2 linked regions of the Alligator mississippiensis genome follow. The protein of the gene in region 1 interacts with the protein of each later gene in a pairwise test. Links are inferred from orthologs where the notes say so. Each region holds a gene or a part of one and is shown on either strand. Other genes may lie near its edges.

Region 1 (7,517 bases):
TTCTGTTTAGGACTTTGTCGCTGGCGTTCCCATCTGATCACCTTTCACCATCACCGCATCACTCTCTCATGGGCTTACTCCGGTCAGACTCCCCAGCCTTATTTTAATCAGATTTTGCCCATGCCCTGTGCCTCTCTGCTGTTTGTCCTATGCAAGCCTAGCTCCTGGGATGCAGCTGGAAATAAGATTTTACCACTCTAGGATTCTCTCTCCCAACAGGCAAGCATCTGCTGATAACTTCATCTTGGTGTTTAATAAGCATAGTCATGAAGATCAGCAAATAGGCCCTCTCGAAGCTGCACTGGGCATGCTCCCCTGTGGAAGGCAGCCCCCAAGCCCAGCACAGCAACACAGAGTCTGCTCTTCTGTTAAACTGAGTGTCATTCATCATGAGAAAAAGTGACAGTTCTAGGAGATGCCTGTGTATAGTGTATGACAACTGGCGCAGCGGGTGCATTGCTACAATTACGGTCCCTTGCTGGCCCCTTGCTTCCTGGATAGGTCTATGCCCCAGCCTGTCCCTGCCCCAACCCAGGGGTACACAAATTACCCATTAAGCTTATTGGAGTTCTTCTAGGTGCTTCAGAGGAGTCAGGACTTCCTCAAGGTGAGGACCACTGAAGAAGGAATGGCTCCCACCACTCATTCCATACACCCACAGCTGCCCCAGCCTCAGGTACGTACCTCTCTCTTCTCTAAGTTGTCACTGCAGGTAGCTAGTTCTGCTGCCAATAGACATCTGCCCCACAGACCAGCCTTGCTGGCTCACCCTTTCCCCCCATTCATTACCCCTCAACCTCTTTGCGGTGCAATTGCAGCCAAAGTTCCTGCCAAGCTAGTGTGGAGACGCTGTCCCTCAGTGACCTACTTCCAACCAGAATTACTTCCCTGAACCCCAGCTTACCCAGAGGATGCAGAAGGATGGTTCAGTAGTTAGAGCACTAGTGCTGGGAAACCTGGGTTCAGTTTCCCCCACACTGCCACAGACTTCCTGTGCCACTTTGGGCAAGTCACATCCGGATTCGCAAAGGTATTTAGGCACCTAAATTCGCATGGATTTCAATAGGGAGTTAGACTCCTAAATACCTTTGTGACTATGGCCTTTAGTGCCTCTGTTAGCCTCAATCTCCATCTGTACAATGAAGTTACTACCACCACCCCACCTGACCAGGGGTGTTGTGAGGATAAATCCACTGAAGATCATTATGTGCTCAAGAAGTACTCCAGTCATGGAGACAGACCAGACAGAAGAAATATCATCACCTAGAATTCTTCAAGCTTATGCCATCAGAGAAAGAGACAGCTCTGACCAAACCTGGCCAAGTTAAAAACCCAGGATTCCCCAGTTCCTAAAAAACACTCCACAGACTCCTTTCTACTACTTGGGTGACTAGTAACTTCTGAGATGAGTTTGCTTCACTCCTGTTGTCCCTCAATCCTGGCCTGTTTTTGCAAATTCCTCTCCCCCCAAAAAACACATACAAATAAGAGTCAAATCAGTGCCCTTTGTTGGCGGAAAGTGAATGAGCTGTACTTCCTCCAAAATAAGCGCGCAGACAAGCACTGGAAAAATGTGTCTTCACATTATGAATGAACCAAAAAAGGGGAGATTTATTGCAGGGGGTTTAGGCAAATCAATTGTAAGACTCGTAAAACTTTCTAGTTGTTGCAGGGAACTGTAGGTGGAAATGCACAAATACAAATGGGAAGGGGAGCTATTACTGTCTGACTTAGGACCAAATTCTGCTGTTGGCTACAAGTGTGAATCTTGCCTTAGCCATAAATATCAATGGATTTGCACCACTATCACTGAGAGTCAAAGCTAGCTTCTAATTTGTATGTATTGATTCTCCAGTGTGGTACAAACATCACTCAAAAAGGCATTTAAAAACCTGCAACCAATACCCACCAGATATTAGCATAATGAATAAATTAGAAGTCAACGTGCAGCATGTAACAGAGCCACATGTCAGCTCCCATCACACTGACCTAAAGACACACTTACTTGGATTCTTGACATTTTAATCTGGGATCGATTCCCCTGGAAAACAGCAACTGACACAAGATTTTAGTCTTAGAAGACTTCTTAGATTCTGATCCCCTGGTGCTAAAAGCAGGCTAGGTTGAAAAGGCAGAGAGAAAACAGGAAATAGGGCAATAAAAGTAACTTTACCTAAAAGGTCTCAAGGTGACGAGACATCTTCTGACCATTATTTTTCCATCCGAATTGACAGTGATCATTGTTCAAACTTAGCAAAGAAAAGGAAAAAGCAGCAACCTGACACTTTAAACTGCCACACGCTGCCACTCTTCGAAGCTCATGGTTGGCTGGATGAGAAGGATTTGTGCATGGGGCAGTACCAAAATAACCCCAACCGATCCAAGTTCACAGCAAAGGACTACAGGTCTTCTTGTGGAGGTGGTCTCTTCCTCTTCCAAGGGGAAGCCCTCCCTGGCAAACCTTTGTCTGCTCTCGATGAACAACCTTTCAGCAGAGGGAGAGCAACTGAACTGTGTGCACTGGTGGGATTTTGTTGTTGTTATTATTATTGTTATTCACATTTTGGAGGCAGGTGGTAGCTAATAGCAGCACTTCTCTCCGTCCATCTCTCCTCGGAGAAGACAAATCCACTGCTGGGCAAGGTGGGGGAGACCTCGATTCCTGCTCATGGGATCCTTCATCACCCCCACTTTATCCTCCCAATAGCCTCACCTCATCTGGAGTCAAATGCCTGACATCTCCCTGCCAGCGCTCAGCACTTCCAGCTACTTGCTGTCCTCTGGCAATGCTCCGCAGTCAAAAGTCGGCACAGCACTGAGATCCCAGTGGGGCTCCTGATCACATCTAGGGATGCAAAGGTTACAGGATCCAGCTCCATCCCATCCTGGGAGCTCCCTTGCACAATCTTCGGCATCCAGCCCTTCGCTTTAATTTGAGCAGGCACCGCATTGTTTCCACCTGAGAAGGCTGCACTGTTAAAGCAGGGATTGGAGAAAGCTTCCTTGCTAAATTGTGAATTGGGCACCATCTAGTGGCAACAAAAGGGTGTGGTGTAGGCCAGTTTCTATGAAGCAACTATGCTAGGACTGATGCAGAGGTTGCGTTGCTTCTTTGGACTCCCTCACTCCAGAGAATTCGATATCTCATCAGCAGCACATCCATATAGAATTATGGACGCTCTCCCTGGCTGTCATATTGTTTAGAAAACTCCTATTTCAGTGACAACAGCAATTAATATTGCTCATTTATATGTTGATATGCACCCCAAAGCACTTTGCAAATTGTAGACAGGAAGCATCTTGTAAATGCAGCCACTATGGTATGGAGGATGGCAGTCAACTTGGAAACAGCAGGCTGCACAACAGAGGAAGTGAAGACTTTCCAGGAAGACACCAGGACAAACCCCTACACTTATGAGAAGTACCAGAAAATATGTGTAGATAAGACAGAAACTCCAGACTTGAATCCACCTCCCTTATGGTAAGATTTTCAGTGGATTTCACATGGGCATAAAACAGATCAGAATCCAGTTCATTGTTTATGAAGGCTCCATCCAAAAGTCCTCCTGGTGTTAGTGCTTGAGGCTCAGTACATAGATCCCAATAAAAGTGAGTAGTTGATTTTCTGCATTGGAAATAAGAACAAGATATTTGGCCTGAAGATTCATCCATGACGCGTCATGGCAGCACTGACTGCATCCTGTTAACCAACTGCTACAAACACATGTAGGGAACATACTTGTAATGGAGTTTTTGCAGACACACACCAGTGCAACTTTGTACAGAATTGAGCCTTGTTTAGGGAACCACCTGTACTGCTTCCATGATTTCTGAATATCCCCTTAGAACAGCACCCACCACTGCAGCCCTGTTAGCCTTGACATGACAATTAGCAATTCTTGATGATGGGTCATCATTTGACTTGTCTGGGAGTCACCATGTGAAAAGGCAACATTTGCTATGAGGACATCTTCATCTCCTGGAACAAAAAAATAGCAAATGACAGAGGTAGCACTGGAGAAGAGAGGTGATCACAGCCTAAGGAGTTTCAAACAACTGAATTTACTGACCTTCTGAACCTGTCATGGACTAGAAACTGGCCAAGGGCTGAGATGGTGGAAGAGCGGGAGTGTGAAAGTATAACATAGGCACAAGACTGGTGACCAGCTACTCTGTGGTGGGCTGGGAAAAATAAAGGCAGTGTCTACTTTTTTCATTGCTCACTTTGTATAATCTTTGCTCTCGTGAGTCAAGGGGCCCAGAGCTTTGTATGGAGTTTCTCTTTGGAGTGTGATCAAGAACCAAATCTACATAAAGAAGTAAAATGCCACCCTGTTTTCCCATGTACTGAACCTAGCTGTTGACGTGGTTAGCAGAGTTGTCTTGCACGTAGCTGGCTCTGGCAAGCACACAGACACAGCCCAGTCATACTTAGCCCCCCAGCTTCTGTGGAAGGCCAGACCTCCCTCCTTACTCTATGGAAGCCCCTTCAACAGAACTGCTGGTCAGTGCATGAACCAGTTTTCAAGTGAGACATTTTCCCCACCCATAAGAGGAGACAGTTCTGAGGCCCACACAGGGGAGAGGTGATTTCTCACACACACACACACACACACACACACACACACACACACAGCTGTAGACATCTGGAGTCACAGCACGCATGTGTGCATGCACACACACATGCACATGCACATGCACACACACACAGAGGCAAGTGCTAGGATTCTTCAGGGCCTCTGTGATAGCAATGCTGAACCCTAGAGTCACCAGCAGCTCACAGTCCACACACCTTATTACAGCTGAGACCATAGTATTACTGAAGCATCTCCCAAACAGACAGCCACTCAGCCCAAGAGGAATTCTGCTCCTGTGGTTCTGGTACCATCCACATACCATCCATGGAATCATGGCTTTTCCTAATTGCTGTACGTGTTGTTTTCACTGCAGTATAAGGAATAACATACATCCAACAGTACAAAATGAGGCTGTATTTCACAGACCTGATCTTACCAACTCTGCTTCTGAATACCCGAATAGTCCACTAACAAGTCTCTCTTCTATATGAGTCTGATGCCAGCTTCTGGGCTGCTGAACAGATTCCAAGATTGACTGACTGAAACAAAATGAAAAGGGCAAATTTGCCCTAATTTACACTTGAACCAGGCTCTGGATGGACCTGGCTGTAGAGTGTGTGACGTACAGGAAAGGAATGATTTTGACTGGTGCATCTATAATAGTAACATAATGATGTCCTCTTCTGTATTAGATGCGCTTCTACATACAAACACATCTCATGCTTCCTCCCTTCTCTCTGCACCCTTTCCCTCCTTCGTGTGTTCTTCACCTCTGCAGAGACGTCACCCAGGCTGACTCCTATCATACGCTTTCCTGGTGCCACATTATTAATATGACACAGTCACAGTAATGAGAAGACAAACACCCACTCCTTTATAAACTAATTGCAGGGTTCCCTTGCTTATGTAAGAGCCCGGCATTTTCCCATAAGGCTGATCAAGATGAAATGCCATATTATGACTGTTGTGAAACTGTAACTCTTATTTCCATATGAGACCTGGGCACTGATCCTGTTGTCACCTTGACGCAAGTCCACAGTCACTCTGCTAAATCCATGAGCTCCACAGACAAAAAGGCAGTATCAAAATCACATAGGATACAGAATCATTGACAATATACAGGGCTAGAAGGGACTTCAGGATGTCATCTAGTCCAACCCGGAGCTCAAGACAGAATCATCCCTGCCAAAACCATGCCAATAGAAAGGAAAAAGAATCAGAGCTCCTAGATTAGACACAGTTGGACATTTTCCATTGAAATATTTTCCCAACAAAACAGCAGCTTTTATGAAAATTGTCCATAATTTTCAGTGTTTGATGAAAACGGAATGAAAACAAACAGTTTTGTGTTCATTAAATTTTTTCGCAGAGAGAAAATCATTTCCTAACCAGCTCAGAGCTACATAATAGAGGGCTCCATATGCATATTAAGGACAGACAACTCATGTGACTACTTGGCTTATGCTCAGTGGAGATTTGCTGGTAACAAAGGACCAACTACATGCTTCTGGGCCTGATGTGTTAAAGAAAAAATGTTTCTTTGTTTAATTTCCATCAGACAGGCTGCCTCCACTGCTCCTGGGTTATTTAGGGGGAAGGCTCCTCACATGCACACCCTCCCTGCTGGTGAAGATGAGAGACCTGAACATACCAACACCCAGTTCTGCACAACTGGGACAATTTCCAGGGAGAAGGATCCCCATGCAGGAGTATCGGGGCTACATCAGGTCAGGGCTATCACAGGCTGGAGCATGGCAGCCAGATTTGAGGCATACTAGCAGACCTACGGGAGAAGTTTGTTTAGCATAAATAATCTCTTCATCCCAATCAAATCTTCCCATTTTTGTTACCCTCAAGGCTGGCATCGGAGGATCCCTTAGGAGTTCGGCATTTGGTTTCAGGGGAATTAGACATCCAAAACCCATTGACAGAAAGCTTTGAGCATCTACCAGCCTCCAGCTCCCTTGAAAATCCCAGCCTAAATTCACTCATACATTTAATAATAGAAAGCTGGAGATGGAAAGGGAGGTGGCTGAGGCCACTAGGATTTCTACTATTATTACTGTTATTGCAGCAACCAACACCATGTTTCTTCCTGCAGAGGAAGTGACAAATACTTTCTGCTTCTCTGGTGTAGGTTGTAGTCGTGTTGGTCGAAGGACATAGGCAGACGAGGTTCTTTGGGTAAATCCGATATCTTTTATTAGACTAACTAAAAAGATACTAGATTTACCCAAAGAACCCTGACTGCCTTCTGCTTCTCTGCACCGTTAGGAACTCCTGTTACTGCTCTAATTCGGAGGAACAGCTGAATCCTCTCATCCACCTCATGTATACCCCTGTTGCTCACCACTACCAGCTTTGTGCAGAAAGCCAGCACAAGACCTGCGCACTACTGAGGCCTCTCTGAAGGATCCCCAGAAATTCTTCTGTGCTCCTCCCACAGGCGACAGGGCTCAGAGCAGGGGTCACTGGGGCTGGGGACACAGGTTACATATAAACCAGTTTAAGTGAACAGAAACTGGTTTAAACCTGGAACATAACATAAGTTCAGTGCACATAAACCAGCTTCAAAATGGCTGAAACTGGTTTAAGATAACCCTGGTTGAATGTAGTATCAGACTGAACTGATTTGGGTCAAAACAGTTTATGCAACGTCTGTCCCAGACCCCGGTGAAAATCCATGTCTTGTGCTCAGCTGAGGATCACACTTGTCCCTCTGGGCTTGAAAGTTGTGTATTTGCTGCCTATTTTACCACAGCCCCCTTATCATCCCTTCTGGTTCACACTGGCACCACAAAAACCCAACAGTCTCCAGGAAAGAAATAACCGCACCAAAATCTTTGTTCCCAGCTTCATCATGTTGTCACTCACTCTAGTCTCTCCCAGATTTTGCTTCCCTTCAAGAGAATCACAAAAGGTCACCGCCCCTGCTTTGTC
Region 2 (7,227 bases), on another chromosome or scaffold:
CGGCCCCGTCTTAGATTCAGAAACACCCCCCCCCCCAGCGCCTTATTTCTGCAGCTGTGGATGGAGCCGGGACCCGGGGTGTCGCCAGCACCTAGGGACGGACTCCGGCTCTGCAAACACAAGAGCAATCGGAGAGTATGTTTCCATTGGGTGCCCCCCTCCCCACTCCCCTTGCTTCATTGCTGCAGGACCTGGACGCTGGGGGGGGGGGGGGGGGGAGAGAGACACGTTTCCCCCCATCGGGACATTTCCTACAAGGCTGAAACCACTGTAACAACGCGCCGGGACCTGGTGTTCCTGTTTGGGACCGGGAAACAATTCCCCTTCGTGCCGATCCCGCAAAAAGAGAGATGGAGTTTGGTTTTGCTCCGGCGCAGCAAAGCGAGCGGCTGTCTGCTCCCCCCTGGCGCGGGGTAAATGCCGGGGCTTCGCTCCCCCTTGCAGAGCAAACGCAGCACGGGAGCCTCCTCGGATCGCAGCTGGCCCGTGCGACCAGGAACGACAGCCTGCGAGCGGCCGCGGCGCGGGGGAGCCCCGAACCCCGGCTCCAGGGCAGTTCGGGCAGACGGGACTTAGCCCGCGTTAGCGGCGCTCCGGCCCGAGAGCTTCCCCCGTGTGTCACCTAAGGACCCCGGCGCGACACGTGTCCGAGACTCGTCCCCGAGCCGGAGAACCGCGGGCTGAGCCCCGCGGGGCCCAGCGGCGCCGTCTTACCTGCGGCGGCGCGGGCGGGGACGCTCCGGGACGGGCTCGGCTCCATGACACGGATCTGTGTGGACAAGGAAAGGAGCCGTCAAGGGGAGCGGGGCCGCTGCTCCGCAGCCTGGTAGGAAGCCTCAGGTTTGTCCCGGGCTCGGGCAGCCAAGCCAGCCGCTCTCGGGAGGGCCCGAGCAGCCCGGACCGGCCCTGCCCAAGAAGGAAACGCGCAGGAGAAACTCTCGGAGAAGCAGCGGTTTCACCGAACAGCTCCGCGGGCACCGGGCACCGGCAGGGCAGACACGAGCGAGCTCCGCGCGCGGCCGCTGGGACAAGGACCCACACACGGAGCACGGGCACCGAGCGGGCAAGTAGCAATGTCTGTGATGATGACTGCCCCGTGCTTCTCCGCACCACCGTTATCCTAACATCACTGCCACTGTTACCTCTCTAGTGCCATTGCTAGCATCGTCAGCAACATTTGCTGGCATTAGTATTATTGATATTATTATCACCATTACTATTACTATCGCCATCATGATTATTGCTATCCTTATTACTATCATCATTATCATCAGCAGTATTGATATCCTTATGACTTTACTATTATCATTACTATTACTATCACCATCATGATTATCGCTCTCCTTATTTTACTATTAATATCATTACGATCATCATCATTAGTACTGCTATCATTATTATTACGATTGCTGTTATCACTATCACCATCATTATTATTGTTGCCATTATTACTATAATCTTTATTATCATTATTAGTATTAATACCCTTAATATTACTTTATTACTATCACCATTATTATTATTATAGCATTATTATTGTCATCAGTACTACTATCGTTATTATTAGTTATTATCATTACTATCAACAATATTGCTACCCTTATTATTACTATTACGATTATCTATCATTATCATTACTGTTAATATCACCATCATTATTATGCTCTCCTTATCAGTACTATAATTAGTATCGCTATCATTACTATTAGTAGCACCATCATTATTATTGCTATTATTATTACTGTCATTATTATTATTATCATGACTATCATCAGCATTGCTATAATTTTTGTTACTGTTGCTATTATCATCATTATTGCTATCATCATTCCAGTTACAACGACTACTGTTGTTATTATCATTACTATGACTATTGCCATCATTATTGCTATCATTATTACTCTTATCATCTTCGCTGTTATCATCATCATTATTATTACTATTGCCATCATTATTACTCTTATTATCATCGCTGTTATCATTATTATGACTATTGCCATCATTATTGCTATCATTATCATCATCATTATTATTATTATTACTATTATTGTTGTTATTATTATTGCTATCACCACCCCCACGATTGTTATCCTTATTATAACTATTATTATTGCTCTCGTTATCAAGACGATTCCCGTTCCTATTATTGCTATCATTACTGCTATTCCTGTGTTCAGGACTGTCATTGCTCTCATCCTCACCATCACCGCTGTTTTCTTTTCTCGCCCAGGAGGGAGCCCGGGACGCCCGCAGCCCGCCGGGCTCTCAGCCCAGGACGGCTCGCGGGGCGGCGGCACCATCCCGCTTTGCTTGCCCCCTGGACGGCGACGCCGCTCGCACAAGCCCTCGGGGCACGGCTGTGCGGCAGCCCCGCGCCTTCCCTCCCCGGCTCCGGCCGCTTCTCTCCTTCCACTTCTAGCCACGAGCCGCCCGGAGCCGGGGGCTGCCCGGGACGCCGCGGGGCCGGTTCTCGCCGCTATGAAGCTGAGCCCTCGGGCCCGTGGAGCCGGCTGGAGACGGGCTCTGCAGGCGCCGACCCCGGGCGCCCAGCCCGAGACTCCCCGCGGCTGCAGCGCAGCTCCCGGGCCCGATCCTCTGCTGAGCCCCCGCGGCTTGCGAGGCGAGCGCACACCTGGGAGCTGCCCTCCTCCGCGAGAGCCTAGGGACCAGCTCCCGGGCGACCGACCGGAGGCCGCGGGGAGGGGCGCAGCGTTGGGATTCTTGGTGTTATTTTTTTGCACCGAAATGCAGCTGCTGCCCCGGGCCGGACGGGGGGATGCAGCCCGAGCCGCCCCACCTGCGGGCTCCCACTGACTGCCAGCTGCTCTCCGCCGCCGCTCCGTGCGCGCCAGGGTCTCTCCGGGAGCCGGCACAGGCGAGCCTGGCCCGGCCCCGGGGCTGCTCGGGGCCCGGCCACCGCCGCCGCGCAGCGCCTCCTGCTGGGCGTACAGCGGGGTGGAGAGAGGTGGGGGCTCCCCTGGCCCCCAGCGCCTTGCATCGCCCGCCCCGGGGAGCGGGGAAGGCTGCCGAGCCCGGCCCGGGAGGCAGCGCCTCCTTTTTGCCCCTTGTGCTAGGATCCCCCTGGCAGGAGGGCGGCTGGTTCCCTGCTCCCAGGCCTGCTCCCCAGTGGCTGGAGCCGGCCTTACCTGCCCTTGCATCGCTCCATAGGCAGGAGACAGGCTCAACCTGCAGGGGAAGGCCTCGGAGGCTAGGGATTTGCAAGCAGGGGGAGAGGAGGGGAAGAAAAGGCCTCTGATTTTCCTGGTCTGTGCTCCTCTCTTCTGGGTAGGAGCTGGGGGGGACTTCTGCTTGCCCTTGGGTTGAAGTCAGGATTAGAAGATATCACTGGGCCAGAGGTGTGTGCACATTACTGAAGGCATGCAGTGTTCCCCGCCAGGCCTGCAGTTCACAGGACCCCGGTGCCAGGAAAAGGGACACAATTAGAGTTCATTTCCCTTGGCCTTTTTTGGGAGGGTGGGGGAGGGGTTACCAACTTTTTTTTTTTCTTTTAAGGAAAAGCCCCTGGAAAAACCTGGGATTTTAACCACTTTGTTGTTGCAATGAACTCCTAAGTGAACCCGGGGCTGGAGCTAATCAGGCTGAGTGCAAGAAGGCAAAGGACTCGGGGCAGAATATTTGGTAGAAAGTCAGAGCTGGTATTTTGCACATAAAGCCTGGTAGCCGGGCAGATTTGGTGCTGGGGCTGAAAGCTTGTGGCATTCACACAATGAGGCTGGAGCCCAAACCAAAGTGAGAGCAAGAAATACTATCAGCCAGAGGATGAAATGGACAGTATTGCAGGAACCCTTTGTATTCTTGGCCTTTAGAGGAACCCTTCGTCACTGGGAGTGTTTTGTGGGTTAGAGAATAAATTAATAATTATACCCATCGAGTGATCTGGCCTATCTGCCTCTCCATCTCTCCATCCATTTTCCTAAGACCCTTTGCATTAGTTCAGCCGACTCTCAGGGGTTTCCATGCTCACCGACTTCAGTTCCAAGATTTCTTTCTTTCTGCCTTTCCCCACATGTGCAGAAAAAAAAAATAGCAAAAACCCAAGGCGTTCCAGTGGCATCCCTGTGCTGCCAAGAGACACTGACAGGGCAGGGACCATTTAAAATTTAAGCCGGGGTGTCTCTTGGCTGTTCCCAAGTTTAAGGGGCTCTGACTTCACAGGGTATAACTATAGCTGAAAAATAAAGGATGTGTGTCTGAATATGGAATGGATCAAGAAGATAAATTGCATAAAATCAGAACCAGTCCAATCCCACACTTGCTATTTGTTATATAGAGAAGAAGTAAATGGAATTCACATGTCGAGTATTAACTGGTTGTTAGTCTGTAAGATAATATTAACTTTAGTGCTTTATGGTTTACTCCAGTTTTCCAAAGGCAGCTCCAGGACGGATCCAGCCTGTAATTTAGGATGGCACATACTGTGCGAATGAGGCTTTGGCACAAGGGCCTACCCAACACATCAAGGTGATATTAACATAATAAAACGTTTGGAGAGCGAGTAGGAGCTCATAAATTAATGCATTCTACTGTTTTAATGCGAGCAGCTAACAATGTGTTTCCTGTCTGGCTGATCGTCCCTGCTGCAGCCTAGCAGCTGTTTTAAAGGTGCTGTGAAATTAAAGAGAGGGAAGATGATTGTCTTTAAATCAATGCTTAATGATGTGTTATTATAAAGTCTTCCTCAAGCAGATGGTTACGTGTGAAACCTACATGGACCCAAGGAAGGGGAGCTTCCCCAGGTGTACGAGGGCTCCGGGGGCCTGGCGGAAAAGCAGGGGAGTGGGTTTCCCAAGGGTGGCGGGAGAGAAACACCTTGAAGAGAAAGGCAGAGCGAGAACAGACGTTCTGGCAAATGTGATCCTGGCTCCTTCTGAGGGATACAGCCTCCTCAGTATGGCTTATTAGCTAAGAGCAGATCTGGTAGAGCCCGAGCCCTGCAAAGCGCTCTCTTTCTGGAACAATGCAACACAGGAACTTTTCATTAGGACTGGAATGGACTCCCCGGGCTGCTGAGACAAGCTCCCGGCTATCACAGGCAATCACCAGGGTCCACAAGAGCATCCCCTCTCCCACACCTGAGCCAAAAAATACCTAATTAAAGACCAGACAGAGGGACCCAGGAAGGGAGCAGGGGAGACAATAAATGCTTTTCCCCACATGGATGTGAGAGAGCCCTAAGCGACTACAGCTACCTTCATTCTAACTACAGCTTCGCTTTCATGTATAGCCTTACAGACACTGCTGCTTTGTAGCATGTCCCCTGCACTATCTGCCCTTTGCGACTTATGGTGTAAGAGAAAAGAAAATAATCAGAGCAAGAGGCAGAGTTGGTTCAAGCACCCTGGGTCCTGTCCCTTCTTGTAGAAGTCAGTGGAGTTAGATGTGGGATAAGTGTGTCCCAGCTTGTGCGTCTAATAAGCTGCCCGTTAAATGTGCATTTTATTTGATTGTGCAATTTAGGAGGATACAGGGAAACAACTCACACGGGCATCCTCGATTAAGCACCAGGGTATTATGCTTCCCCTTAATAATCCTTCTCAGACTCCTGAAATACAATGGGGGTGAGGCTGGGGGGTGTAATCCTAGTGTCTCCCTGAGGACACACAATTTTCTCTGGTGAATATTTAGCCCTTTCTTGTCTTATAATTGCTCTGCATCAGAAATATTCTACATTGCTGTGGTAGAAGATGGTCCTAATGATTTGAAGTTAATTTCTAAATGTGGAGGGAATGGCATTAGTTACACTATATCATTTATGCAAACATGCAATTGTACAGCCCTCGAACAGGGCTACTGAGCTGGTTTCCTACTGTATCTTCAACACTATTCATACTGCAGATTCACCTATTCTCATGTGAAGAGTTCATCAAACTGTCCTCAAGTCAAGATAGCATTAGACTGGTTTCATTCCCCCCATGTTATACACCCGTCCTCGCTTCTAATTTTGTTTTACACCCCATGTGAAAATGCAAGTGATGGGTAAAAAATGCCAAAGCACCTTTGACTTAAGAACTGAGGAACCTAAATCTAAATCCCACTTTCAAATGATTCCTAAGCACCTAATTAACTTTTGAAAATAGGACTTGCAGATTTTGAAAATTCTAAGCACTGTTTTTTTGTGTAGCCAGGCTGTTTCTCTGGGATTTAACATAGTCCCTTAGTATAAGGTGCGAGATATGATTTTCACTGGTGAAATGTCATCAGAAAAAACCACGAATATCCTTCACTTTTGCACTACAGTAGTGGCTCTTGAAGCTTTTCCAATTGACGTTGCTACTTACTGAAAAGTATTTGTAGTTTGATAACCTTAGTATTTGCAGTATTAAAGGTAGTGCCTTTAGCTTGTACCTGGACAAGGGAATATTGCAAATATTGAGATAATCTTATATATTTATCTTAGGTAAACCACAGCAAGCTTTCAAGAGCTACCATTATACTTCTTCATCAAGGACTTCAAAGGAGCTTGTGAAAACTAAAATGCAGAATACCCTGGGGAGAAATATCAGCTCTTGGAGAAAAATGTCACTTTGCAGATAGTTGAAACCATGATTTAGCCCAATTTTTAGGGAGGAATGCTAGGAGATCCAAAGAGGTGAAGGAACTTGCCAAAGGTCAGTTAGCAAGTCAGTGGCAGAGCTGGAGCACAGATACATTGACTCAATGGGGAACACCCCTTAACTTCAAGGATTACATACAAAGCTTTAAGTCTCTAACAGTTCATTGTGGGAGAAATAGTAGGCTTCTGAAGTCAAAGGGAACCTTGACTTTAACTTCAGGAAAGCAGGATTTCACCCACAGAAATTAAAATAAAGTATGGTTCTGCTGATGAAGGCACGGGCCCCTGGCTGATCTGTGCTACAGAGTCAGCACGTGGCTAGAATCACACATGGCTTTAGGACTGCATCGCTGAATGTTGTAGTGCCTGTCTTTTACGTGCCTGGCATGCTTCCATGCAATGGACAGAGCCCTGCAGATGCATACTAGGCATACCCTGAACATGTCTAATGGCGATGTCAGCTGGGGCACACTTAGTTTATTGAGGCCAAGGGGTTTAGACATGAGATAGGTGCTGAACTGCTCAGCACCAATGGAGACATTTCTAGCATTTCTAGAATCAGGATGTTAGAGAGAACTTTACTAGTGAAAAGCTAGAGGAGAAGTGGAGGCTCTCAGGAGTGCACTTTTGGATTTAGGCATCTAAATGCTTTA

Evidence for each region.
Region 2: the proteins of MGAT5B (region 1) and PITX1 interact in a two-hybrid assay, tested with the Homo sapiens proteins (2 studies listed by BioGRID). The link is inferred for Alligator mississippiensis from reciprocal best matches to the Homo sapiens genes MGAT5B and PITX1.

What each region holds. Positions count from the first base shown.
Region 1 is NC_081831.1:14,521,358-14,528,874, reverse strand, and holds the start of MGAT5B (alpha-1,6-mannosylglycoprotein 6-beta-N-acetylglucosaminyltransferase B), read right to left. Parts: upstream 3,013-7,517; 5' UTR 2,242-3,012; coding exon 2,174-2,241; intron 1-2,173. UniProt on the Homo sapiens protein: Glycosyltransferase that acts on alpha-linked mannose of N-glycans and O-mannosyl glycans.
Region 2 is NC_081832.1:70,687,446-70,694,672, forward strand, and holds the start of PITX1 (pituitary homeobox 1), read right to left. Parts: upstream 3,038-7,227; 5' UTR 2,999-3,037; coding exon 2,798-2,998; intron 2,484-2,797; exon of another isoform or gene 2,301-2,483; coding exon of another isoform or gene 2,202-2,300; intron 770-2,201; coding exon 715-769; intron 1-714. UniProt on the Homo sapiens protein: Sequence-specific transcription factor that binds gene promoters and activates their transcription. May play a role in the development of anterior structures, and in particular, the brain and facies and in specifying the identity or structure of hindlimb.